Caenorhabditis elegans: one gene and its partner. The protein of the gene in region 1 interacts with the protein of each later gene in a biochemical or structural test. Each region holds a gene or a part of one and is shown in the gene's direction. Other genes may lie near its edges. The genes, in order: akt-2 and skn-1.

Region 1 (17,982 bases):
ATAGTACAGGGCATTGTAGGCGCCGACGGTAATCAGGATATCATCGGTTGCGTTAACGTTCACACCGTAGAAATAAGAGTAAATTTTGGAGAGAATCCCAACCAAGTCTGGATGGCCAAACGCTCGCGTATACTGATGCGACTCAATTTTCTCCGGATGACTAGCGATGTCCTTTAAGATCTCAGTGACAAATTTTGGTGCTGGTGAATCTGGGAATCCTTGGCCAAGGCTCACCGCCTTATTTTCGATGGCAAGTTTTCCGAACTCTACCCTGCAAAAATATTCTTTAGGTTGGAGCTTCAGGGTCTTTTACATTCAACTTTCAACATAATATTGAATAACTAACCAAATCGACTCCTGATGCTCCCCGACGTTTTCAGATGGTTGTCTCGCAAAATTCGTCAACATGTTTCACTCGTTGAAATGGCAAAAAAAGTTTCTGGAAAAGAAAAATGTTTGAAACGACGTCAGAATGTTTCTATAAAGACGAATAAAGAGCAAAAAGTTGTATAGAAAAAAAAATGAACCGTCTGTTAGAAGAAGAGCAAAAAGCTTCTCACTAAGTGATATTTGTTTTGGAAGCCGAAACATTTTCAACTATGTTTGATGACATTCATGACAAATGTAGGAGACGAGTAATCTAAATATGTCACAAACGGTGAATTAAACTTAACAGTTTAAATTATAAAGAGCCTTCAAGGTAACACCTTTTTAACTTCAGTTTAAAAAATTTTAATGAATGATTTTAAATTTCCAAAACTACAAATATTTCCTAATATGTAATATGGTCCGAAAACACAAAAAATAGACAATGGAAAAAAACGAAATTACAGAATAAAAAGATAAATCACGGCCTATTACCAGTATTCATAAATAAATGATTGCGCCATTTCATATGAAGAAACCGACTCACAAAAGTGCATCCAACCTCAGAGACTGTGTTCTTCTAGTTTCTGTCCAATCGCCATTTGTTACAATATTTCGTTATTGTGTATCTATCCATGTCTGGGGCAGTCGAAAAATCCAATGCTTTTATGATCGGTCTAGACAGCAGAAATTATTTCCACATCACGCAGCTTACCCAGATGCTCATTGATGATTTTGGTAGAGTAAATGATGTGGACTTGGAAATGCAGTTACCGAATGACCTCTATTAGTCTTGCATGTTGGACTAAATTTAAATTGGGCCGTAGGAGTGCAAGACTAATAGAGATCGCAAGACTATTTACTGAATATCAAATAGCTTCTGGAAAAGTGAACAAAAGAACAAAATTGTAGAAAACCCAACTTGGTACCGTTTAAATAATAAAAACTACAGAATCACCAAGCTTATATTGAACAATTCGATGTGAAAGTGTGTCTTGAATGAACGACAATTGACCACATTTGAATAACAATAAATAAATTTTGAGATGAATGTTATATCATTATGAGATATCTAGAGTACTTTAAGATTATTTGCCATTTGGAGAGAATTAGTGTTTTACTAGTTCTGTACTTATGTATGTAGTAGCATTTAAAACTACAATATGAGTACAGTTTTTTCATTAAACTCAGAGTGCAGAGCTTCTGCTGTTTGGCGTTTTCAGATTTGGCAGTTTGTGCAATTAGTTTGTGTTTCTGTTAAATTTCACTGTCATTCATTACTTGTTTTACTTATTACCTAAAATGTGAATATTCCAGCACTTGGCTCTGATAACTGTTTTTGTTTGTTTTCTAAGTGTCTATCAACTCCATTGCGTGCGTCACTTTTGATGCGTTTTCCCGCGTCACAATCTGATTTGCAAAACGGAGTCAGTTTTGAAAGAACATCTGTTAGCTCTCATATCTCTCCTATTTTTTCATTCATCTCACTAACACACTTGACCGGAGATTGCATATTAGAATAAAGTACGAGACCGAGACATAGAGGGTAGAAATGTTGGGAGAGTGTGCGCTTGCACTCTTCATCGATTTTCTAAGTTTATTTTTTCCTTTTAAGAATACGGCCAATTTGATAACACAACTAGTTTCTAGTTTTCACTATCTAGCTTCTAGATTTAACTCTTTTTACATTAAGTCCCACATTTCCTGTTTTGTTTCAATTTAAAAGCGGTTTTTTTAACATCCCGCTTCTTGTGCGATAGAGCGAAGTTGACTCTGTAGCATTTTGTTTTTATAAGCCTAAAATATTTGCATGCGATTTCCACATTTCTCCAACAATTGAATAGCATTTTCTTAGAAATAACTAAAAAAAACCTTTTCAGATTATACATTTTCAAAACTTATTTATTTAGTTTTCAGATGGCTCCATCAAAAAGAAGTTCGAAAAAGTCACGCACAGTAAGTTGTTAACTTTATTTTTTAAAAAGTATTTTTCTTTACACATTACATTTTATTTTCTGTTGTAAAGATACTTGAACTAATTTTAAGCCAAAAACTAATCAAATTTGGATTAAAACTAAGTAAAAACAATAGACAAACAATTTTCAGAAAAATGTCAGGAGAGAGACGGAAAACTCAAAAACTCAGAAACAATCAACACGGAATCTTCCGAACGTATGATTTGCATCACAAAATAGTCACACTAATATAAAAATTGCAGAGAGCTTGCAAACTGAAATCACTTCCAGCTACAACAAAGTCACATTCGGATTCAGTAAGTTTTTACTTTCTTGTAAAAATAGAAACCGTTAAAAGATTTATCATTTCTAAATAATAACTTGCAAAAGCGCCAAACTAGAAGGAGCCAGAATCCTGTAGTCAAAAAGCGTATTTCATCTTCATCGTCTTCATCTTCGTCTCGTTCGAAGTCTTCTGATAAGTCTAAGAATGTATCAATTCCAGAAGTAAGTTGAAACGTTAACAAAAAGTGCTTCAAAGCAAAAGAAATCATAATGTTAAGTCATCTTTTTTTGTTCATTCTAATTCATAATTCTAATTTTAAATTTGAAAATTCAAAATAAGAATCCTTAAAAACATGTTTAATAACGCTTCAAATCATTAAAATTTAAAAATAGCTAGAATTGTCCTAGGAGGTAGTAGGACAAGGAAATAAGGCCAAATATTTATTTATGAATAAGAAGAAGGGGGGAAACAATAGTGTATATTCTTGGGGAACTGACCGGCTCCTTTTATATGGTCTCTTAATTCGATCAGCAGGGGCGTGAGGAAGCAAGGGAATATGGTAATAAAACATTTTCTGGGAATGTGAATTCGAGGGAATATGGGAATATGGTAATAAAATATTTTCTGGGAATGTGAATAGTCAGAATATTATGGATCAAACATTAAGAATCGCCTTCGATGCGACAAGAATCTTAAATTTTGCCAATTTTACAGTATCGCAGCTGGCGGAAGGTGATTTTTATGTGATTTTTGTTAATTGAAGTATATTTTATTTTTCTGAAAACTTACTGTGTACTAAAAACGTGCTTAAATTTAAAACAAACGCTGAGTTATCAATCAAAATAAGAAAAAAAATTTGTTAAAGATTGGTTTCAGCTCACTAGAAAAATGACAAATATAATAATTCAAAATATTCCGAGTTTAATTAGACCAGAATATAAATTTCACTGTGATAAAAAAAAATCAAAATTAAGATACACATAATTTTTGCTGATCTTGAATCATTTTTTCAACTGTTTCATATGCTTATATATTTAGCTAAATTCTAATACATTCAAATAAGAATGTTTGAAGAAAACGTTTGAAAATACTCTAAATTTCAGGCAGATCAAACACTTGGAATCGAAAGATCAAGACGTGAAGATTCTTCGTCATCCGAATTATCCGAATGTTACTCTGCACAGAATTATTTGGTAACGTTAAATTGTGCTACTAAATTTTAATTTTGAGCTACAGATTCAAAACGCGTACTACTCGGAAAAATATGCTCCAGCTATCATACACAAATTGCTTCCTGCCTTTGAGGCAAACAAAAATCCAAACAACGATGAAATTTTGGAAATAATGGCAGATACAGGATTATCTCGAAAAGAAGTTAGTTTTTTTTTTTACTTTAAAAATTCTCCTTAAAAAAACTCTAACGCGTTTAGGTTCGTCGCTGGTTCCAATGGCGTAATGGCACAAACTTCAGAATTGTTAGGCCAGTGACTGAGGAGCAGAAAAAACGGGCTGCTGAACGAGAAAGAAGCAGAGCTCATTTGAAAGTGGACCTGGAACAGGTGAATCCAATACTAGAAGCTATTCCTACAAGGAATCGGAACTGTGTCGCGGGGGGAATACTGCAACTAGACGTTCAGTCATTTAAAGAGCCTGAACTAATTGTATATGGTTGGTGGCCATTTGGGACTGTGGAAATGGATGATTTCGAAACGTACGATTATCCTTGGGATGATGATGGAGAAGTTGATAGGGAATGGTAAATAACAACGGTAAATGTTTGTAAAGTTCACTTGAGATATGTTGTCTATTTTGGACAATATGGATATGGCTTTGAACAAAAATGAACTAATTGTAAGAAGAAAAACCCTATATTTTTTGATATTCTGCAAAACTAAACTTTTTATTTTCAGGACCCGATCTGAAAAAGAATTGTTGAAGAAACACCCATTGTATTGACAACAAAAAAGCAGCATTTTAAAATAAAGATAACACATTAACTATTTATCTGTCTGTTCCCCATTTTCACTGACTCCACTCTTACATCTACTTTAAGGGTCCTTTTTCCATCCTTCTTTGCAGACCTAACAAATCTAAAAAAACAATCGTATAATATCTGAATTAATTAACCTTTCACGACTTGTAATTAACCCATATTATTATATTTGCTTGGAAAAATAGGATTTTTTAAAAAATGTTGACAGATCCTTTCCAATCATCAATTTCCCATATTCACCATGTCAAAAACACGTTAAGTATTTACGAGAACTCAAGCATGCTCTGTAGAGAACTGTTTAAATTTTCCTTATTTTATGTTTCCGGTTTGCCGACCTGTTTGAGATTTCAAAGCTACAGTATTTTCAAAACGATGTTGCTTTAATACTTATGCTACATTTATTTCTCTATTGGACCTGCACTCAATAATATCAATTGAGACATACATTTCCAGTCCTTATCTATTTGTCTTACTAAAATGTGAACTTTTATCAGTCTTGCTTTCAAGTTATTTTATTCCATTTCAGTTGTATTTTTTAATAACTTTTAATATTTTTGAAATGCGCTGTTAATATTTTTAATTGATACTTTCTATTTAATTTAAATTGTTTATTCCGTGTTTTTACGTGCATTTTCGGATAATCGGCTTCCAAATATACCAAAAATTGAGTGCCTACCGATTGAAACTGTAAGCTAATAACAACTAGGCCTGTTGAATGGGTCGAGATGGGTCGACCCGCGACCCAATTTTGGGTCGGGGTCGCGTCCCCGACCCATTTTCGGAAAATGTCTGAAATTGAAAAAAAAAGTTTGTTTTGTTGTAAATCGTGTTTAAACGTTGACTCTTATGCTTGTTTGTATCGAAAATAGGATATGTTTTTTTAATTGATGAAAATACGATAATTTTATAATTTTCAGCTTTTACACGTGTTTTTTGACAAAAAATAGTTTTTCAAGTTTTTGATAACTTTCTGTTAAATTTTGAAAAAAATGGGTCGGGGACATGACCCCGACCCAAAAAGTGGGTCGGGGCCGCAACCCCGACCCAAAAAATGGGTCGGGGACGCGACCCCAACCCGGCCGACCCAAAAAAAATGGGGCGACCCACTCCACAGGCCTAATAACAACAATGCAGACAAAATATACAAAATAGCAGTATATTCGAATAAAAATTCATATCTGTCCACTGCGAGAAGAACGAGTAATTAATATGTCTTTTTTTTTATATTTTGCACGTTTCTGTTTTTGTGGTGTCCTTGTTCTATATAAAGGACTACACACCAAAAAACAACTGAATAATAGACGTTGTTGACATGCTTGTTTGTGGATTTTCAGAGATCAAATCCCACGTTTTCGGTTTTTTTTGTCGTTTTTTCGGAATCTCTAAAATGTATATTCTTTGTTTTTAGTAGTTCATATTATTATAAAAGAAAAAAAACTGCACATCTGGTAAACAATATAGAAAAAGAGAGTTGCGAAACTTCAAAAATTTGTTATTTAATGTCTTGCGACACTTAAAAAACCGGCATTTTACAGTTTATGTTGTGTTTTTTGTTTGTCGGTTGTCTTATCATCTTGTGGTTTTGGATGCATTTTTCACTTGGCAAGTTGTTTACCACTTTCTTCCGACCGCATGCTTTTTTTGCTTCGTTGGTTTTTTCAAAGTAAGACGGTTGTCATACAACAAATATCACAAGGAAATCACATATTTCACTGTTTCAACACCATGCCCATTTTACTCCAGACAAAAAGTTACCTATGTAGTTCCACTAGACGTTAGGAAATATTATACATTTTTGAAATTCATTTTTATTTTAGAGATTTCAAAATTATAGATTTTTACTAAAATTGCACGGAACGGCGGAAATAAGTAGACGAACGCCTACAGTCAAAATTCACAGGAATACCTCGTTAAATTATTCCGCTTTAAATAACTAAAATTGTATATAACATCACACTTCTACTTCCAGTGAAATACGCCTCTTTCTGCTTAAACTTTTTGTTCAGTTAACCAAAAGAATAGAGATTTGCAGCAAAGGTGGAGTAGCTCTTGTGCACGTGGTGGCAGGCAGTCCCATCACGGTCTGATCTACAAAACATGCGGGAATTTTTTCCCCCAAAAAATATGACGTCAGCACACTCTTAGCCATGCGCATTCAGTTGAAATGTCTGCGTCTAAATTCCCGCGAATTTTGTAGATCTACGTAGATCAAACAGAACTGAGACAATTTGACACCACGTGTCAGTGGAAATTTCATTATAACGCATTTATGATATTACAAAACAATAATACAGTCACTTGAATCTTTGTTTAAGGTGGTTTATATAATTTTCCCCAAGTTAAATTCGAATAATAATTTGTTTTGAAGAGAAAACAAGTTACTAAATGTTATTAAATTGTGAGCAACGTATTGCGTACATAAAATAATTTTGCTTTATACTTGATCCACCAGAATTCACATTCCCTCGTTATTTGAAAATGTTTAGTTTCACGCACATGTTTCTCATATTTCATTATTCCAGAATTTTCTTCTTTTTTTTTTTGAAAACAAATCTCGCTTTCCAAAAAAATCAATATTCAAACGCAACCTTTCTCGTGATGCTGTTGACGGGGGGAGAAATAGTGTCTGAAGTTGTTTTCGTCCTTTTTCCTGCCGCAGCAAAAAAGGTCACATCCCCTCTCTTCGCTGCTATCTCTATTTCTCTCTCATCTCTCTTGCCGGCGTTTCTCTGCTTCTCCGCTCAAGTTTTGTCTGCAATCTTTTCCTTCTGTCCTTTTCCTCTGTTTGCCACAATACGTCACTAGGGGTGTTTGTTTTTCCCATAGTCTTTCGTAGCCAACGACTATTTTCTTCTTTTTTTTTTCGTGTTTTATCAAAGCTATGAATTCTTAGTTCGTTAGATTTTTTTTTGGAGGAAAAATTGTCGTAGAACCTAATTAGTGTTGAATTAAAAAAATTAAACTTCAAAGCCTTATTGAAAATATGATCAATTAAAACTAAATTGTTATAAATGTTTCATAACCATGAAGTTCAAACTATGTTTGTAAATTTTTAAGATGTAATGGAAAAGTTGTAATATTTAAGTGCTCGTGTAGTATATCTGCCCTAAAAATTTTTGCCAATAGGGTTTCCACGTGGTGTCAGAATGTCTAATTTCGGCTTGATCTACGTAGATCTACAAAAAATGCGGGAGAAGAGACGCAGAGCTCTCAACTAATTTTGCATGGTTAAGAACGTGCTGACGTCACATTTTTGTGGCTAAAAAGTCCCGCATTTTTTGTAGATCACACCGTAGTGGGACACGTGGTTTTCCATTTTTGGGGCAGGTATAGTACATAAATACCATAATTTAAAACTACCTTTTAATTGTATTTTTTTAACGACGTATTTTTCTTTTTTAAAACAAAATCTCTGAAAGAATTATCACTATTTACAGCGTAAAAATGTCTACTGAAAACGCCCATCTACAAAAAGAAGACATTGTTATTGAAAGTTGGCTTCACAAGAAAGGAGAGCACATTCGTAATTGGCGCCCCAGGTAAGTTTTTCATTGTTTTACCAGGCCTATGTATCCAATCTAGTACAGTAGTTTTAAGTTTCATAGCTACTGTCCCTTATGAAAAGATATTCAAAAAGTTTTCACTTTAATTGCACTGAATTGGAAATGAAAATCTTCCAACAGGAAACCAAAACTAATTTGGAAATAAATGAAAATTAAATCCTAAGATGTCAGTATTTTAGGTACTTCATCTTGTTTCGAGATGGAACGTTGCTTGGATTCCGGTCAAAGCCAAAGGAAGATCAGCCGTTACCAGAGCCACTGAATAATTTTATGATTAGAGACGCAGCGGTAAGTTTTTGAACCTGTAGATGGTTACTAGAAAGTTTTCAAAATCGTTGCTTTTAAAGGTGGAGTAGCGCCAGACAATTTACTAAGTTTTTGCCACCCATTATTTTGGAAGTCGACAAAAAGAATTTTTTCCAACATTTTTTATACTGTATATCTGTTTTAATTATATCCATTGAAACATTGTAAGGGTCGGAACCAGGGGTGTGCGGCAAATCTCAAAATTTACCGAGCTCGGCAAATTCGGCAAATCTATTTTTCCATTATTTGCCGAGCACGGCCAATTCGGCAAATTTGCCGTGCTTAACAAAATCGGAAAAATTATATATTTTTTGATATTTTTTGGAGCACCGAAACTACTGAATTCTTAACACACCTCTGGTTTCTGAACAAGTTAGATGTAGTGTGTCTGCTTAAACATCAAAATAACTCAATTTGTTGTCATTTTACTAAATTTTTGGCGAAAAAATCAACAGTTTTAGTCAAAATTGTACTGTCAAATTTTTGACGTGTGCGGCAAATTTCGAAATTTGCCGCACACCCCTGGTCGGAACATTCGACATTGCTTTCGATTTCTTCAAAAACTCATACTTTTCAAAACTTTGGCAATTTGCCAAAACTTTGACCGGAAATTATGAAAAATCTAAAATTTATTGGAATGCTTCATTATGATATTCGGACATTTTGGATTATTAAAAATGTGTTTGAACAAAATCTTCCCTGGCTCTACTCCACCTTTAAGCAGAAAGTTAGTACCCCAGTAATATACATATGTAGAAATCCCTCTTTAGTAAAAATTTGAAAACCTTAGCTGAACTTCAAATAAGTTTTTAAGTAATTGCCAGTAGGCAGTTTCCATATTGAAAACCGCAACTACCAAAATGCTTTATTTCAGACGGTTTGCCTTGACAAACCTCGACCAAATATGTTTATCGTGCGATGTCTCCAATGGACCACTGTCATTGAACGCACATTTTATGCGGATAGCGCCGACTTCCGTCAGATGTGGATTGAAGCAATTCAAGCTGTATCCAGTCACAATCGTTTGAAAGAAAATGCAGGAAATACCAGCATGCAGGAGGAAGATACTAATGGAGTATGAAAGTAAAGAGATTCAAAATTTTCATGAAATTTTTTAGAATCCGTCTGGAGAAAGTGATGTGAACATGGACGCAACAAGCACCCGTTCGGATAATGATTTTGAGTCAACTGTAATGAATATCGACGAACCAGAGGAAGTTCCAAGAAAAAATACAGTGGTAAGTTTCAAAATCCTGCCAACAAATCCACGTATTGATATGTGGAAATAAGAGGTTTTTAAAGAAAGTTTTTTGAGTAAAAATGATTAACTCGAAAGGCGCAACAAGTTTTTTTTGGTTGACAGGTTGAGCGAAACTTTTTTTTCTGATTTTCCGCTAAAAATTCAAGTTTTGCTTTGTATCTCTATTATTTCTTAAATGTATGTAGTTATTTAATTTTGCAGACGATGGACGATTTTGACTTCCTCAAAGTTCTCGGTCAAGGAACCTTCGGAAAAGTTATTTTGTGCAGGGAGAAAAGTTCTGATAAGCTCTACGCCATTAAGATTATCAGAAAAGAAATGGTCGTTGATCGTTCTGAGGTGGCCCACACTTTGACTGAAAATCGAGTTCTGTATGCTTGCGTTCACCCTTTTCTCACGGTATGCTTATTGGTCGAAAAAATATTGAGTCGGTGTACAATGTTGGCAGATGTCAGTGAAAATTGAAGTAGATGATTTTTTTCGTGAAAAAATCATGTTTAGAGAGACGGATAAATGCACACTAGGATTTCAACGATGGCGCTACTCTCGCCCGCCAGCACCACAATACGCCCCACACTCCCGCCGCCCTCACAACATCGCCTTTCTCTGTTGCACGTAGCTATAGTGGCGCGAGGTCCTGCGCGGCGTCGGCAGCAGTACACAGAGTGTGATAATGCTGGCGCATGGGCGTGCCGAAGTAGGGCGGGCGTTTCCGTGGAACCATATTTTTTTTCTCTAAGAAACTCTGAAATACATATTTCCTATAAATTTATCGATTGCCATAACTTTACAAATATATCTTACTTACAATTATTTAAAATATTTGAATTCCCCAGTTGTTGACACAGTGCCACAAATATATTTTTTCAGCTACTTAAATACAGTTTCCAAGCACAATATCACATCTGTTTTGTGATGGAGTTTGCAAATGGTGGCGAGCTGTTCACCCATCTTCAGAGGTGCAAAACATTCAGCGAAGCACGAACAAGATTTTATGGATCGGAAATCATACTTGCTCTTGGATACCTTCATCACAGAAATATTGTGTATCGTGATATGAAAGTAAGTAGAAGCTTTTTGAGAGGGGTTATCACAACTTGAAGTATTTGTCAGAAATTTTTGAATTTCACAACTTTGATGTTTTTTCATTGTTTTTTCCATTGTTTTTTCAGCTCGAAAATTTGCTTCTCGACAGAGATGGTCACATCAAAATCACTGACTTTGGGTTGTGCAAAGAGGAAATCAAATATGGAGATAAAACAAGCACCTTTTGCGGAACACCAGAATACCTTGCACCAGAGGTAAAGCCTTTCAATTCTCGCGTCAAGTTATTAGTCTATTGTTTCAGGTTATCGAAGACATCGACTATGACCGTAGTGTTGACTGGTGGGGAGTCGGAGTGGTCATGTACGAAATGATGTGTGGACGGCTTCCATTTTCAGCAAAGGAGAACGGCAAACTCTTCGAACTAATTACGACATGTGATTTGAAGTTCCCGAATAGGTTAAGCCCAGAAGCCGTAACATTACTATCTGGACTACTCGAAAGGGTCCCAGCTAAGCGGCTTGGTGCCGGTCCTGATGATGCACGTGAAGTTTCGAGAGCTGAATTTTTCAAAGATGTGGATTGGGAAGCAACATTAAGAAAAGAAGTCGAACCTCCATTTAAGCCAAATGTGATGTCTGAAACGGACACGAGTTTCTTTGACAGAGTACGTTACGTTTCAATTCTTTTGAAAGTTTCAGAAGCAATATGAGTAATTTTTAGAGTAAACGATTTACAATTAGGGCAAAGTGTTGTTATTTTTAGTACAGTTTTAAAAAAATGTATGCCAACGTACATAAGATTTCATTTAGTTTTTTTACTGATACTGAAACACAAACAACACTTTGTTTAATGACTAGGATTTTCCAATTTTCATAACAGTTTTCATAGTTTCTAGAAATAAGAGAACCAATGATTCAAAAATGATATTAACATATACTCAGGAGTTCACATCAATGCCGGTCCAACTGACGCCTCCACGTAGAGGGGAAGAACTTCCGACAGTTGATGAGGAAGAAGAATTACAAGCCAACTTCATACAATTTGCGTCATACTACGTGTCGGGAAGCTTGGAACGATCTTATGATACGAACAGAAGCGCTGACAAATACGAAATAAGATGATTTTGTTTTCAACAATTTTTTGTGTTTTCTGTACGTTTTTTTCTCATTCACTCAATTTTGTCAACATTTCATTGTCTCCTTTGAAAACTTGTTATCTCTTTCATGAACTTAACAAAATCTCTTTCAAACATTTCAACCTTTCCAAAAACTGAAACTTTGCGTAGAGCACATTTCGTGTTGCTCACATCCTCTGGGCTAATTTCCATTCCTTTCCTGTTAAAACTCCCCATTTCGCATCACTTTTTTGACAATGCTCTTTTATCATGTTTTTCTGTAGTACTTGATTCATATACCCATCTCTCGGGTATATTTAAAACTTTTAAAACACAGTTCCTTTTCTTGATAACATCTTTTTCTTGATATTTTGTCGCCGACATTTTTTCTCGGGAATGAACCTTTCTCACATGGATGACTTAACAGTACTTTTACATTAAGACAAATACTCAGTTCAAGTAACAAAGAAAACTTTTATCAGAATTTATTTAGTTCAGTTTTTGAATGTCTAATAAAAAAGTGCATTATATCTCAAAACTTTCGAACATAGAAAAACGAATGCTTTTAATAAGTTGTAATTGGAATTGAAACAGATTTCGAGAAGTGAAACAATGTTCGGGGATCCTGTGGAAATCTGTCATGCCATACGAGAAAGTACATAGCAAAGTTTTCGATTAGAATAGTTTCGAGTAGACCATCACTTCTCTCAATATCGAGTCCATATGTGCAATCCACAAATTCAAGATCATCACTGAAACGACAATTTAAAAAAAACTGAATTTTCAACTGGCAGGCTTAAGTTTAGACATATGTTCCGGTTAAGTGTAAGGCTTGGGCTTAGGTTCAGGTTAGGCTAAGCATTAAAATTGAAATCAGGTGTCGGCTTAGAAAGCTTAAGTTTCGACTTAGCTTATGTGGTTTTAAAGTGTAGTTTTTCTTTTTATTTTTTCCCTGTTTTCCCCTAGATTTTAAGCAAGAATAATGCATATCAGAATGATTCCCTCCATTTTTATGACTTGAAAATTCCAGAAAGTTATTATTTGGAAAAGACCTTAATTAAACATACCAGAAGATTCTTGCTCTACGTTTTGGATTCCATTTGGAATATGATAAACCTTTCAATAATTCGCCCGTCCAATTATGCCACCAGTAGTTCAATTGAAGTCTTCTCAGTTTCGGCGAATTCCCGGCCAGCCAGTAATGAATTTACTTATTCCGTTTTGTTGCCGAGACTGTATTGAGATCATAAAATCTCATTTTCTCGCAATCCATCATTTTCAAATCGTCTAGTGTTAATCCTGGGCCTTTTTCGATGTCCAATCGTGGAATATTGGCCCACTTAAATGTGAATATGCTCATAATTCAGCAAAGATATTTTCAACTTACCAGCTTTCTATCAATCTTGTCCTTGTGTAAACAATAAGTCAGGAATCCATATTTCGAATCGAAATTCTTCAATATAAATTCCATATCTTCAGTGCCAAAGTACGAATGTCCGAGAAGTTTTAGAAAATGGCATTTCCGAAACAAAGGGTGGCTCAAAGCAGATTTGAACTCCCCAAAAAGTTGATCATGGTCAATTGCCAAATCGACATGATCGATTGAAAACAATCCGTTCAAATAATCCAAAAGACTAGTCAACTGAAAGTTGTCATAGCCGACCAAATTTAGATTGTCTACCTTTCTTTAGTGAAAATTATCAAAATTAGAAAATAAAATCAAAAGCATAGTAGAAAACTTGTCCAGGAACAGAGGAAAACTGGATTTCCATGTGCAAAAACTAAATAACCTATCTCCGCGAAAAATGATCGGATAGAGCTGTGATTTGAGATTCCATTTTGAATCATTCTATTAACTCTAAATTTAACATAAAAACCGAAACGATAGTGGAAAGTTTGTGAATTTTATGGAAAAATGCAAATTGTTCAAGATAAATGTTCATTTTTCGATTTTTGATACGATTATCCACCTTTTTTGGAAAAAAATTATATTTTTCGCTTCCTCTCGATGTATTCAACATTTTTCCAAAAAAAAATTGGAAAAAAAGCAAGACTAACAGAGATTTGACCGGAACAATGGTGAAAACTGACCGAAAACACACCAAATATGAAAGGGGGAGGTGGGTGTGTGTGTGAGAGAAAAGGGGGAATGTGCAGAAATTTTGGCAAAACTTTAATTATCGTTTTAAAAATAACGAATAGAGATATCACAATGAATTTGGATACTATGGATAGGTATTGGGAAGGAGAACTTAAGTTTCGAGTCTCAAATGTTTTCGATTGAAACTCGAATTTTCCTTCAATTTAAAGTGGTTTTCGGCCAGTACTTCGGTGTGCGCAAAAACAAGCAGGCTGTGGTTTTCCGCTTGTGGAGCCGACAGGATGCTCCAAAATCAACCCCCTTTTAGATGAACACACGTCGCTATATTTTGTGAATGTGGAGAAAAAAGAATTTCAAAATTCGGTCCAGTGAGAGCCGAGATATAAACGTTCATGACAACTTTCAGGGGTGTGGCGTAGATTGTAAAAGTGCGAAATTTCTATTGCTATTAAGTGTTTGAGCCAAAATATAATGGTGTTTTCAAATTTGAAAAATAACGAACAATGAAACATTTCACTTTTTGGAAAGACGTGAATTCTCAAAACTTCTGTAAATGTGCTGAAGTTTGTCAAGACCGGCCAAATTTGATTTAATATTAAATTTAAAAATAACAAGTTCCACTTTCAAATGGTGCTTAACTGATGTCGAAAACTTCTTTGTGTAATCGGGCCTGCGGCCCTCAACCTGAATTATTGAGCTAAGAATAGGCTTAACGTATGCCCATCACTTCTGAGTATATTCGGGCCTGCGGCCCTCATTATGTGTAACAATCTATTTTTCGTGTAACAATCTATTTTTTCGTGTAACAATCTATTTTTTCGTGTAACAATCTATTTTTTCGTGTAACAATCTATTTTTTCGTTTAACAATCTATTTTTTCGTGTAACAATCTATTTTTCGTGTAACAATCTATTTTTTCGTGTAACAATCTATTTTTCGTGTAACAATCTATTTTTCGTGTAACAATCTATTTTTCGTATAACAATCTATTTTTTCGTGTAACAATCTTTTTTTTCGTGTAACAATCTATTTCTCCCCGCCATCTGGTCCTCAATATGCATGCGTCTCTTCAACTTTCTACAATTCCCGGCGGGGTAGTATTATGAGTGCACTCCAACTTGCAAAAAACTCTGACTCCGTCTGGGTCGCGGGTCAACGCAATAATGCGGATCGGCCCTATGCCACCTCTATTACCGCAGAATGAGCACTGTCAAAATATCTCCTAGCGAATATTACAGTAACTCTTCAAAGAACAACAATAACCAATCCCATTTGTTTGAAATTTTGAAGCGCCGTGGAAAATTTTGAAAATTTTTGAAGTCCCGCTATGTAATTTGTATAATGTAATATGTAAAATCCAGTGAAAAATCAAATTTTCTAAAAACACATAAATTTTTTGAGAAGTTTTATTATAAAATGTATTACAACATCTGATTACAAAAGCTGTTTCTAAATCTACTCTACGAGAGAATATTGTCAATTGTGAAGGGTATGAATGATTTGCGTCCGATACTCTGATTGGGTGGAGCTTGTGGTTTGACAGTGAGCAGATCATTGTTGGCTTGAATAATTGGAACAATAGGAGTTGTATGCTGCAATGAAATACAGTTAGGTCATAGTTTTAGAAAAACATGACAGTTCAATTTTTTTTTTGAAAAATACACTATTTATATGTATTTGTATTCTCACAGCAAAATATGTGTTAGAGTCTGAATTAATTTTCAAAATGTTTTTAGCCGTTTAAAGTAATAAAATACTACAAATGAGACGAACATTTTTCCCAACTTTTTCTATGTTTACAATATTGAAACGTCTATCCATTAGTTTTTAAAAACCTCAAATAAAAGTTATAATTCAATTCTACAGCAGGTCCAGTCAAATTATCATGTTCTAAAAACTACGGATCTTACTTCAATTTTATGACTTTTTGTAAATATCAAAGTCTCATAAAATAAATTAACGCTTTTGGTGAAAAGTATTCAATGAGGATTGGCATTGGGAAAATTTAAAGCTTTAATCTCGTCGCCTTTAAAGTTGATCTGATTTTAATTGAATTTGTATGGTTTCAAGAGAAATATTGTGGAACAATTTAGATAAGAGTGCCAAAGATTGTCGATTAAAACTTTGCAATGCATTTTTAATATAGTACGTCTGAATGGCATCTGACAATTTGGGGTGAAATTAATAATTTGAGGTTTAGTGAGAACTCATTTACACATACCAGTTGTTCAAAACTGGAAAAAAACATACCATTTCACTGCTTGATTGCCCAACAACACTCGAAGTTTGCCGAACAGTGTTCATGTAAGCTTCCAGAAGTACCTTCAGAAGTTTCTGTATTTTAAAACTCGGAGAAAAGTAACATACCATTTTACTGTTTGACGGTCCTGCAACATTAAAAGTTTCCGGAACATTGCTTAATAGTTTCATGTTCTCCAATCGGTATTGAGCTTGCGATGACACCTTCAAGAAAAGTTTTTTTTGTATGTATTTATGTCAAAGCGAAAAAAAATATACTATTTCACTACTCGGTGGCTCGGGAACAATCGAAGATCCCAGGAGTTCTACATTGCTTCCCGATTGGCTTGTAACTTCTCTCGACATCTTCAAAATTTATTTTATACATGACAACATATTTCCAGGAGCCTAATGCGATAATGATGCTCAGCGCTACAACTTGAACTGTGTGCATTTTGCAAAGATTTTAGAATGAAGTCGAGTATGTGTCAAAAAAAACTTCAACTGGATTTTTCAATCAAACTCTCTGACACGGTAATTGTAAAATGTGATTTTTTGAGCTGTCCAAGCATAAAAATGAAAACAATAATACATTTTCAAACAATAAAAGCAGAAGTGTGATGAAACTTATTAAAATGGAAAACGTCGGCAACTTAATAATTATGAAACAAATACTTCTATGAAAATTGACTGAAAAGATTAAAATGATAGCGACAAACGCAGAGAAAGAGCCCATTAAAAATTGACAACAGGCATTTCATTAAACCCAATTAGTAACTTTCTCAGCAAAACTGATTCACAAAAATGATTCACATAAAAATTAAATTTCAACTACCTTTAAGGAAGCCTTTTTCACTTTTACTCTCATTGCCTTGAACCAGCGATTAATCTGAAAAAATAGTAGACTTTGTTTCTAAAATTTAACAACAAACCTGAGCTTCGTTTCGATTCAATAAACCAGCAAGACGATTCATTTCAGAAGTTCCAGGGTGTGAGTCTTTTTCAAACGACTCCTTCAGAAGCCCTAACTCGGCTATTTTAAAATTTTGTCTCGTTTTTTTACTCTTCTAAAAAATGAAATATGGAATTTGAAATCATCAAGTTTGCTTGCTTACCTCCATGTTGTTGCTTTCAACAAGTTTTTCGGATGGAGAATTACCTAAAATGTCGATGAAAGATTATTGAAATAAGAGCAGTAGCAAAAATTAAAATAAACTTTTAAAATATTAAGATTGATAGTGACTATCGTCCCGTGTAGGAGAGAAACACTTGAGAGTTGCAGAGTTTGAAAGTACAATGGTACTTTTTCATTATCTGGTTAATCGTACCTATTATTCTCAGAATTCTTCTTTTGGGTTTCTTCGACACCTGTCCTGGTGTATTTTCCTATCGGGTTTTCCTGTCAGCGGGTAGGATCTAGTCGGAGGTTGCTTCTCCACTAATCTTATTTAATTGGTCTATTTTTTAGGCGGCCTACATTTATCATTTGCTCCGCATCTTGTGGGCTCTGTGCACCTGCACCAAATTGAGTCTATCCTAGAGCGTATAATTCACTTGGCATCATGTATACAACGTTAGGAAACTATGAACAACCCCTATAGTAGAATATATACTACTTAAGGCCTGGAGAGTCAGAAACCGCCGGAGTGGTGTTTTTTAATGCAGGCGTATGCAGTGTCACATAAATGGAGACACATCGCTGGCAACAGTAGATACAGGGGAGACACATAGTTTTCAGGTGCATAGACCGCA
Region 2 (9,534 bases), on another chromosome or scaffold:
AAGCTTCGTCGTAATGGCATCGACATGGAAACGTACGCATTGTATGGACAAGGAACTCCACTATCAGGATCATCTGGAATTGATCCTGGAATTCGTCGATTCTTGCAGTTGCTCGAGTTTTTGTTGAAAGAGCTCAAGGTTTGTGGGAAAATATGTTGCCGTTCGGAGTTGGTTAAAAAATTGGGAGTTTTCTTGAAATCGATCTCTGTACAGAATAAAAAAGACATATCCATCAAAAATAAGTATTGTGAATTTATTTTCGTATTACCCATTTGCAAAAGTTTATGCGATTTCTGCTTCAAAAATACAAAAATAGACAGATTTTCTGAACTTCAAAAAAATCGTGCACCTTTAAGGCCTACTGTAGTTCCCAACTCCCATTTTTCAACCGATTTACGTTAAAAAGGTATAAAACCAACCCAAATCTGAAAGAAACTAGTGAAAAAGAGTGATTTTTCCTAGTTTTCCGCCCGTTTCTACGAAATTTGGCGTGTTTTTACATGTTTTTTAATAAATTTTATTTAAATAATTGGGTGAACACTTGAGGAGTTGGGAAATACCGTAGGCCTTAAAGGCGCACGATCCCTTATGAGTTTGAGTAAATCGGGTTTTTTAAAGTATTTTTGGAGCAAAACTGTAAAATTTCACATCTCGTTAAGAATGGATTTACAATATTCATTTTCCGGTATAAAGATCGATTTTATAATTTTTTGGTTTCAGAAACACCCTAATTTTTATACATTTTTCAGGATCGAAACAAAAATTTCAAACCACCATATCAAATTCATGCTGATTCACTGGTTGACAATGGTGTCAAATACAATGCAGTTATGACACTCAACACAGATGTTCGATGGACTCGTGCAATGGCTCTAATGCTCACAGATCTCAAAGCTGCGTGTGCTCAATGCGATGCTCTCAGATCGCCTATTTAGTGATTTCACGGGATCAAATGTAGAATAACATTTTCAACGCTAGAAATTTTTTTTTCAATTTCTCAGGGACGCTTCTTTAAAAAATATTCAATTTTCATTGTGATTTCTAGTTTTTTTTTTCAAATTTTCTGCTGGAATTCTGCCTTTTCCCCAAACTTGTACCATATGTAAATATATTAAAAGTAAAGATTTTTATTGCAGTCTTGTGGAGGAAATTTTGTTATTTTTTGTTGATTGGTTTTGAAACCAATTCTGTTATCTAAAATTTGAATTTTTCCTAATTTATTTTCTCTTTCTTGTTGCTTTACTTGGTTTAATGATTATTAAAATTTTCTGAAACTGTGAAATCAAGTTCCTACCACTAAACTTATTTTAATCTGATTTTACTAATATTGCCTCAAAATTTTCGAAAAATGTATAACTGAAAATATCGAAAAATAAGGTCCAAATTTTGCTAAATTCTGGATTTTTTTAAAGCTAAAACACCGTTTTTTTTTTATTTTCGACCAAAATGTGTGGAAAATTTGAATGTTTTTTCGATTTTTCCAGTCATAAACGTTTTTGAAATTATTTAAATAAATATCACTATGAAATTCGGCACTTTTGTGCCAGATTTAGTTTTTTTTAAGCGAAAACCTCCCACAAACTATATTCCTCCTTTAATTAAATTTGAAAAAAAATACTGTAGGTTTTTGTAGACAATACAATTCCCCAAAAACGAAGTTTCTAGTTTTTTCTAGAATAGTTCTTGTAATTCCGAAAATTCCCGTTTTCTGAATTCTAGAAAAAAAATTGTTGTAACTCAAAATATTGCAGAGAAGGCCTCGTGTCGTCGTTCACGCGTTTCTCCTCCGTCGATCGGACTCTGGTCACTCAGCCGCGAGTCCGTGTCCGAATATTGTTGAGAGAAGTGTTCCACTCATTCTCACAGGATCTATCATAATCCAGTCAGTCGATGGGCGGTTCATCACGCCGTCAGCGAAGTACGTCGGCGACGAGACGAGACGATAAACGAAGACGAAGACAGTGCTTCTCTTCGGTAGCCGACGACGAAGAAGAGACGACGTCAATTTATGGAGTGTCGGTTAGTTTTTTTTTTGTTGGTTTTATCAAGTAAAAAGACCTGAAGAATATCATCATTTCACGGGAGAGCATGACTTTTCGTATCACTTTTCCAGTCAACTCTTGCAATTCTGATTCAATATTACTTGCATTTACAATTTTTGTTTTCTTCATGTTCTAAATCCAACTTTAACTAAGATTTGTAGATTTTTTCCCAAGATTTTTGGCTCAAAATTCCAGCTTTAACCTTAAACATGGCTTTTCTCTTCACGGATTACTTAATTTCTTCAGAAACAAGAAAAAAAACTAAAAGAATAACCAAGATCTGAGTGGAGCCTATTTTTAGCTTTTTTAAGCTTTTTCATCATCTACCTATATATTATTCTTGGAAGTTTCTATTAATTCGAGTAGACTAAAATAGGGAAAATACACCACAATTGAGAGTCGAGTTTTCAAAAATATGATTTTTCAAGTTCAAATTCAAACATTTTTTCTTATTTACACCCGGTTATAGATCATTTCTCAAAGACCGCGTAACATATTTACTTTGAACAGCTTTTCCTTCCCAAACTCCATATCAGACCACCTTCTCCTCTTATCACTTCAGTCACATCACTCTCGTTATCTAGGTCTCCCGCATTGTTACGTGTTAATCCCAACTATCTCATGTAGAATGTCACAGTTGCCTCGTTGTCTGAAACTATTCACGGCTCATTCTGTCTCTCTCTCTCTCTCTCTGTTGCAATAATGATGCCGGAACGACTATGTTCGTAAATGCCAGAGGACGAAGTCGAAGTCCTCTGAAAAGTAGAATTTCAAAAATTCAAGAAAACAATGGAAAGCGTGATCTTTGTATTTCAGAGCCGCTAAGAAGACCGTTCCCTTCCGAAATCCTTCTTCCGCCAGATCATCAGATTTTCAGATATTTTCCAATCTCTTCAATCTTAAACTTAGCCTAAAATATTACTGTCTGTACATTGTCCTCCATATATGTATATTATACAAACATCTTGCCGGAGTCGCTCCAAAATCGCAAACCCCCGATTGCCTATATGCCAGCTTGATAGCAGCATTACCATCCTGATAGACACCCCACGAGGCTCTTGATTTTTCGAACTTTTTCTGCTACGCCGACAGCGACTATCAACAACGGTTTTCCACCACCACGTACAATGTTTGATCAAACCGTTTGATTAAATTGACGCTCTCGGTGCAAGATGATATCATCTGGAAATGAGACGTTTAAAACCGAAAAAATGACTTGAATCATATCTGTGGTCTGATTGTGAATGGGTGCGGTTGACATGGTTAGTTGGGTTTTTGCACGCAATGGATCAAGGAATTGGTATAAGTTGAAATTCGGATCACAGCTTTCGATTTGTAAAAATTGAAAGTATGATTATTTATTGACAGAATATGAGTAGAAGCTTTCTTCTACTATATTCTAATTGAATTGCAATGTATTTGACATGCTGAACCTATTCGTTTTCACGGTTGAGGTCAAGAAATATAATTCTGAACATCACGTTCTACGAGAATTCATAAACAGCCAAATATGATGTCAAACTCACAGTACACTCAAACAGAAAGATTGAGTTCTTTGAGTTCCGACGGAACTACTATATTCTAAATTTCGCGATTTTTGATCATAATATCCTGAAATAAACAGGATATGTTCTGATTAATTGAGATTTTCAACCAAATATCAGACTATTATGCGCTTGTTTTTATTTTTGTTGTAGTAATAATAAAAATAAAAACACGTGGTTTGTAGCAGGTTTAGTATCATAATTATTTTTAGCCAAGATTTCGAAGAATTCTGATCACATATCAACAGGGAAGAAGGTGTGTGGATAATTCAATTTTCCCATGCATGTCTGACGCAGGTGGTTTGAATAATTCAGTTGTAGCTCAATTGTAGATGTATCCGATTTCCGTGTGCACCCAAACCTCTCTTTTTTAGAATATCGAAAATCTTTTCTTTTTCTCGTCAAGTGATATCTTTTGCATCTCTCATATATTTCTTATCAGTCTTGGCACAAACTTCAAACTGATATGCTTTATTTTTGAATTTTTGGTTCCTTTCCAAAAAAAAACTTGGATTTTTGGAAACGTGAAAACCAGCACGCATTTTGAAATTAGGCGTTGAGAAGAAATTAAATCAAAACAAATTTTTTATTCTCAGCAGTACCACCAAGCATTAAGTTTATTGAATAATTGTTTTAAACTGTTCTCTCGGTTTCGTGAGTTTCAGTTTCAATCGTTTTTCAAAGTATTCTGTACTAGACTTGTAACTTTTTTCGAAAAATATATCAACTTTTTGAATCAAAAATTAATGTTAAAATGTAGGAAAATGCTCGTTCGGTTTGAAAAAAAAATTTTTTTTGAAAACTTTTTAAAAGACGGCACAATTGAAAGTCTTTTTCAAACTTTTCCAACAAAAATACATATCATTTTCAGATTGAGCGAGCATTTTCCTACATTTTTATATTCATTTTTGTACGTTTGCCGAAATATTTTTCCGCACAGTCCTGCTCTGTACTACTTCTGTGTGGATTCATCAGAATTTAAGGGCAACGTGCTATGAAAAATTGCATCAACATCCACACACACATTCTCCAGATCTTCGGTTTTTCACCTCCCACCGTCTACTACCTGCCTGCAACAATTCGGTCGCACTCGCCCTCTCGCTACAACATTCACCTGCCGTTGTGTAGTCGTTTTGTAGTCGTCGTCTTTGGTGCAAGCGGCGAGCGACAATGCTGGTCTTATCAGCTTTCGTTGACTTCGTTACGGCCCCCACAGCAGCCTTCTCTTCTAGTTTTTCATTTAATTGGTCAATTTTCTGCGCACGTTAATTTACCGCGCACCAAGATTTCGGATCAAAAAGTTGCGATTTTCGATCTCCACAAGTCTGTGTCTATCTGTGTTCAGGCAAATAGACACGGCGGTCACAAAATTTTTTTACCTCTGCGTCTTCCCATTGGACATGCGCTTTCCAGCATTCTCTCGTACACCCTGCGTGTCTACAGTTTCAGCCATCTCTCCTCGTCTTGTGATCTACTCTATCGGCGCGCTCTCTCGTATTTGTCATCATTTCCATGGCGGCAAGTTAGCACAAATCGTAGAGAACTTAGAGAAATAAGGACACCGAGTGCACTGTTTCGATGGTTTTCTTTCGTTGTCTCTGGAAATCGCCTTTCTTTCTGTTTTTTGACGCCATTTTTCACTTGGTAACCTCAACACGACAACTAACTTCTTGTGTTTACTGTTTTTGGAATCAATTGTCTTTTATTTTTTTTGCGGTTTTGGACCGCCCAGAAATCGGAGTTCTTTTTTGAATTGTTGATTGTCAGGCGCCTTTGAATGTATGTTTTTCTTTCAATTCCAGTTCAATCAGGCACCTGACCCAAGCACTCTCAACTCTCACTGATAGCAAGTTTGAACTCGAATTTTCGGCAAATGTTTTAGTTGCCCTTATCTAGAATTATATTCTCACTCACTCGTATAAGCTTTCTCGCTTTTTCATGATTTTTTGTCGCATTTCAATCACTCGAAACTGACTTTTGTTTTAGTTTTCACGCAATTCTCGCTTTTCTCCCAATTTCAATAGTTTTTTTGTAGATTTCTCGACTCAATTCTGCAAGTTCCTTAAAAACCCGTATATCTACAGTAACCCGTTAGCACTTCTATTGATTTTTCAAAAAAAAACCTTTTCTCGTTTATTTGACCAACTTTTCTTGTTTGCTCTCTAGCTTTTTTTGTTCTGATCCAGTCGTCTCTAGACAGTTCATAGTTCACTTTAACATAACTGTTCTAGGCAAAAATGTTTGGTTTTATTTTTTGAAAACTAAGAAACTTTTAAAAAAGTGACTTCTTACGGTAGTCTTGTAGCATTTTTTTAAAAACAGAATTCAATTTTTGAAAAGTATTGCGAAATCTTTTGCATCATCGCAATTTTTTCTATTGTTTATTTACATCTGATATTATTGTTCTAGAAAATTCGAACCTGATTTTTTATTCGAACGACTTCCTGTGTCCTCTTTCTCTAAAATTTATCTGAAATTCAAATTTGGCGCCAGGCCAAACGCCAATGACATCATCGAAAATCAGTCTGTAGTGAGTGAAAAACGGTGTACAGAACTAACAACAGTCACGTAGGCATTTATATATCTCTGTCTCTCTCTCTCTCTCTCTCTCATTTTCTCTCGACCCTATGAGAGAGAGGGACATTTCTTCTTTTCTTTCCAATCGTTCTTCTTCTTATTTTCTACAGCTGATGATGTTTGATGAAGGTTTTATTTTCCTTGCTTTTTCCACCCTGTTAATATTATTTTCGATATTCCCAAAAATAATTCCAAATTTTCAGTCCATATTCATCTGGATACTTGCAACATCATCACTGATTTTGGTGATCAGTTCACCATCGTCCAACACCTCAATCCAATCATCGTCATACGATCGGATCACGACAAAACATCTTCTGGACAATATATCACCGACATTTAGTGAGTATGACTTGAAAAGTGCATCTGATCACTTTTCGAGCCGTTTTGTCGCTAGGGACTTTTTAATGAATCAGATGTACTTTTCGAATTTTTTAGAGCAAAAGCAGTAGTTGCACTTTTGAAACTTAAATTAATATACAAAACTATGATATATATTTTCAGAAATGTACACGGACAGCAATAATAGGAACTTTGATGAAGTCAACCATCAGCATCAACAAGAACAAGATTTCAATGGCCAATCCAAATATGATTATCCACAATTCAACCGTCCAATGGGTCTCCGTTGGCGTGATGATCAACGGATGATGGAGTATTTCATGTCGAATGGTCCAGTAGAAACTGTTCCAGTTATGCCAATACTCACCGAGCATCCACCAGCATCTCCATTCGGTAGAGGACCATCTACAGAACGTCCAACCACATCATCTCGATACGAGTACAGTTCGCCTTCTCTCGAGGATATCGACTTGATTGATGTGCTATGGAGAAGTGATATTGCTGGAGAGAAGGGCACACGACAAGTGGCTCCTGCTGATCAGTACGAATGTGATTTGCAGACGTTGACAGAGAAATCGACAGTAGCGGTGAGTTTGAAAGCCGAAGCTTCTGACAGTAAAACCTATCCTACAGTATCTGCAGCAGGGTTGTCCTTTTGGTTTTTTTTCGAGCAAAATGCAAAATCAAAAAAAGAAGTTTGAAAACACTTGAGCAATTGAGACCCCCATTAAAAAAAGATTTTCCGGTTTTTTAAGGAAACACAAAAAAAAAAAACTCATTTATTGAAATACTAATTTAGTGATAGGAAATTTTGGCATTATGGCATTGGCAATTTACATACAAAAAACTGTGGCAACATTTCACGGCAACCGTAATCAAACCAAGTGCCTCTTTGTTCTTGATGAAATGCCATGTAGGCACAATCAACATCTGGCTCATTTGGCTGTGAAGATGCCCAGTTGAGATAATCGGCTTCCGAACCATCAGACCACTTGTACACGTGGAATGTATCATTTAGCTTGTTGAGGCCAATCCAAATATTGTTCTCTGTAGTAGTAATGAATTTCAATTAGAAAAAGGATATATCTCACTCTTTCTTAGTTTGTGTACAAATAGGTTTTCGGATTCATCCTTGATGCTAACCAAGTGCCCTCCCATTGATCTACACACATTTTCTGCTGGAATCCACATTACGTCGGTTTCAAACATCTTATACCAGTGATCTTCGTATAGTTGCCAGCCCTGCAATCGGCGTCACTTTTCGTGTTAGTCTGTATTACGATAACGAGCCGAGCAGTCTTTTCGCACGCCTTATCCTGGTTGCCGTCATTTTTATTTTTCATTGTTTGTCTCTCTCTTGATACCTTATCGCAGCGTAAAACTTCTAGGATTCGTTTCGACCCGGTGGAGGGCGTTGTTTCGATTTTCCAGAGCAACGTTCGATGATGACAATTCAACGACCCGCCGCTCTGACGTACTTTTATAGATATTGAGTATTTTGTAGGTCAAAAAGAGCACGTAAGTAGACTTTGAGCTATCAGTTGGAAACTCTTAGACGAGATGCGTCATAGACAGGGACGAACTCTTTAGGGAATATACCTATTGCGTAAGTACATGGATAACTTACACTTTGTTGAAGAGCTAACACAGTCAGTAGACGCACGTTGACATCGAGATTTATTGCACGTTGTCCAGCAATAGATTGATATGAAGATTTTAGAGGGCTAGGAATGACTACGGTATTGATAGTTGGAATGAGAAGGTATAGGAGAAGAAGAATCATGGTTGAGTTGAGGAATGATTGGGGGAAGCTGATTGAATGGAAAACAATCATAGAGATGATGGTGTCAAATTTCTCAGCAAATAAATTTTAAACAATTTCTATCATTTCAGCCACTCACTGCCGAAGAGAATGCTCGATATGAAGATCTTTCGAAAGGATTCTATAATGGATTCTTCGAGTCGTTCAATAACAATCAATATCAGCAGAAACATCAGCAACAACAACGAGAACAAATAAAGACACCAACTCTTGAACATCCAACTCAAAAAGCCGAATTGGAAGATGATCTGTTTGATGAAGATCTTGCTCAGCTTTTCGAGGATGTTTCAAGAGAAGAAGGACAATTGAATCAACTTTTTGATAATAAGCAACAACATCCAGTTATCAATAATGTTTCTCTGTCGGAAGGAATTGTTTATAATCAGGCAAATTGTATGGTTTTGATTTAATTATTGTGTTTTCATTCAACATTTTTTATTTTTCAGTGACCGAGATGCAAGAGATGCGTGATTCCTGCAATCAAGTTTCCATTTCAACAATTCCAACAACATCGACTGCTCAACCAGAGACTTTGTTCAATGTAACCGATTCACAGACTGTCGAACAGTGGCTTCCAACAGAAGTTGTACCAAACGATGGTGAGTTGCTGCTGGTTGCACTTTCTCCTCTTTTTCTCTCCCCGTCTATTCCTCGCTATCTCTATCTATTCTCTTATCAATTCGTGTGCTCTAATCATTTTTCCTGACAAAAGTTGAGAGACTAATGAAGGAGGCGTGCCCATTGTTGAACTTCTGAAATGAAAGCGTAGTTTGGTGGGCGGAGCCTCAATCTGGAGCTTATCCTCCTTTATTTGCTCTCTTATAAACGACTGAAATTCAAACTCCCACCCGAATGTCACTTCCATCTGATTTTGCCTCCTCTCTTCTGGCATCCTCTACCACCACCAACACCACCAACACCGCTCCAGCAGCTGTCAACTCTTTTGACGAACAAGAAGAAGAATCCAAGAAGATACTGAACATGTACCTTCAAATGTTCAATCAACAACAGGTGGATCAACACGGCCATCATCACCAACATCCATACGCCTATTCAGGAGTCTCGAGCACTTTTGACAGAGGTTCCTATCTCTCTCTCTCTCTCTCTCTCTCTTTCATCCTATCTAGACATTCCAACATTTCCTCCTTTCAGGGCTCCCTCATATCTTGGAATGGCAGAGGGTTGTTAACCTAGAAGCGGCTTAAAA

The links.
Region 2: of the proteins of akt-2 (region 1) and skn-1, one has a biochemical effect on the other in vitro, tested with the Caenorhabditis elegans proteins (one study listed by BioGRID).

Annotation. Positions count from the first base shown.
Region 1 is NC_003284.9:14,139,663-14,157,644, forward strand, and holds akt-2 (Serine/threonine-protein kinase akt-2), read left to right. Parts: upstream 1-8,037; 5' UTR 8,038-8,044; coding exon 8,045-8,139; intron 8,140-8,342; coding exon 8,343-8,451; intron 8,452-9,343; coding exon 9,344-9,544; intron 9,545-9,587; coding exon 9,588-9,707; intron 9,708-9,931; coding exon 9,932-10,129; intron 10,130-10,600; coding exon 10,601-10,792; intron 10,793-10,902; coding exon 10,903-11,031; intron 11,032-11,078; coding exon 11,079-11,441; coding exon of another isoform or gene 11,442-11,486; exon of another isoform or gene 11,487-11,718; coding exon 11,719-11,898; 3' UTR 11,899-12,306; downstream 12,307-17,982. Other genes in the region: nkat-1 (Aminotransferase class I/classII large domain-containing protein), read right to left, coding at 1-271, 347-408; ceh-89 (Homeodomain-only protein), read left to right, coding at 2,284-2,322, 2,473-2,538, 2,585-2,638, 3,711-3,800, 3,844-3,981, 4,038-4,166, 4,518-4,529; ceh-90 (Homeobox domain-containing protein), read right to left, coding at 15,453-15,584, 16,243-16,314, 16,360-16,455, 16,510-16,596, 17,066-17,119, 17,163-17,297, 17,346-17,351. UniProt on the Caenorhabditis elegans protein: Acts downstream of PI3 kinase age-1 and kinase pdk-1 in the daf-2/insulin receptor-like transduction pathway. Essential role in regulating developmental arrest at the dauer stage.
Region 2 is NC_003282.8:5,652,741-5,662,274, reverse strand, and holds the start of skn-1 (Protein skinhead-1), read left to right. Parts: upstream 1-1,890; coding exon 1,891-2,019; intron 2,020-4,709; exon of another isoform or gene 4,710-4,859; intron 4,860-4,904; exon of another isoform or gene 4,905-4,957; intron 4,958-6,366; coding exon 6,367-6,505; intron 6,506-6,667; coding exon 6,668-7,092; intron 7,093-7,271; exon of another isoform or gene 7,272-7,322; coding exon of another isoform or gene 7,323-7,552; intron 7,553-7,596; coding exon of another isoform or gene 7,597-7,747; intron 7,748-8,132; coding exon of another isoform or gene 8,133-8,288; exon of another isoform or gene 8,289-8,326; intron 8,327-8,398; coding exon 8,399-8,720; intron 8,721-8,773; coding exon 8,774-8,926; intron 8,927-9,045; exon of another isoform or gene 9,046-9,179; coding exon of another isoform or gene 9,180-9,408; intron 9,409-9,534. Other genes in the region: bec-1 (Beclin homolog), read left to right, coding at 1-138, 750-935; clec-178 (C-type lectin domain-containing protein), read right to left, coding at 7,323-7,552, 7,597-7,747, 8,133-8,288. UniProt on the Caenorhabditis elegans protein: Transcription factor. Required to specify the fate of ventral blastomeres in the early embryo, and postembryonically for the development of the intestine. Directly regulates expression of zygotically expressed med-1 and med-2 to direct mesendoderm development.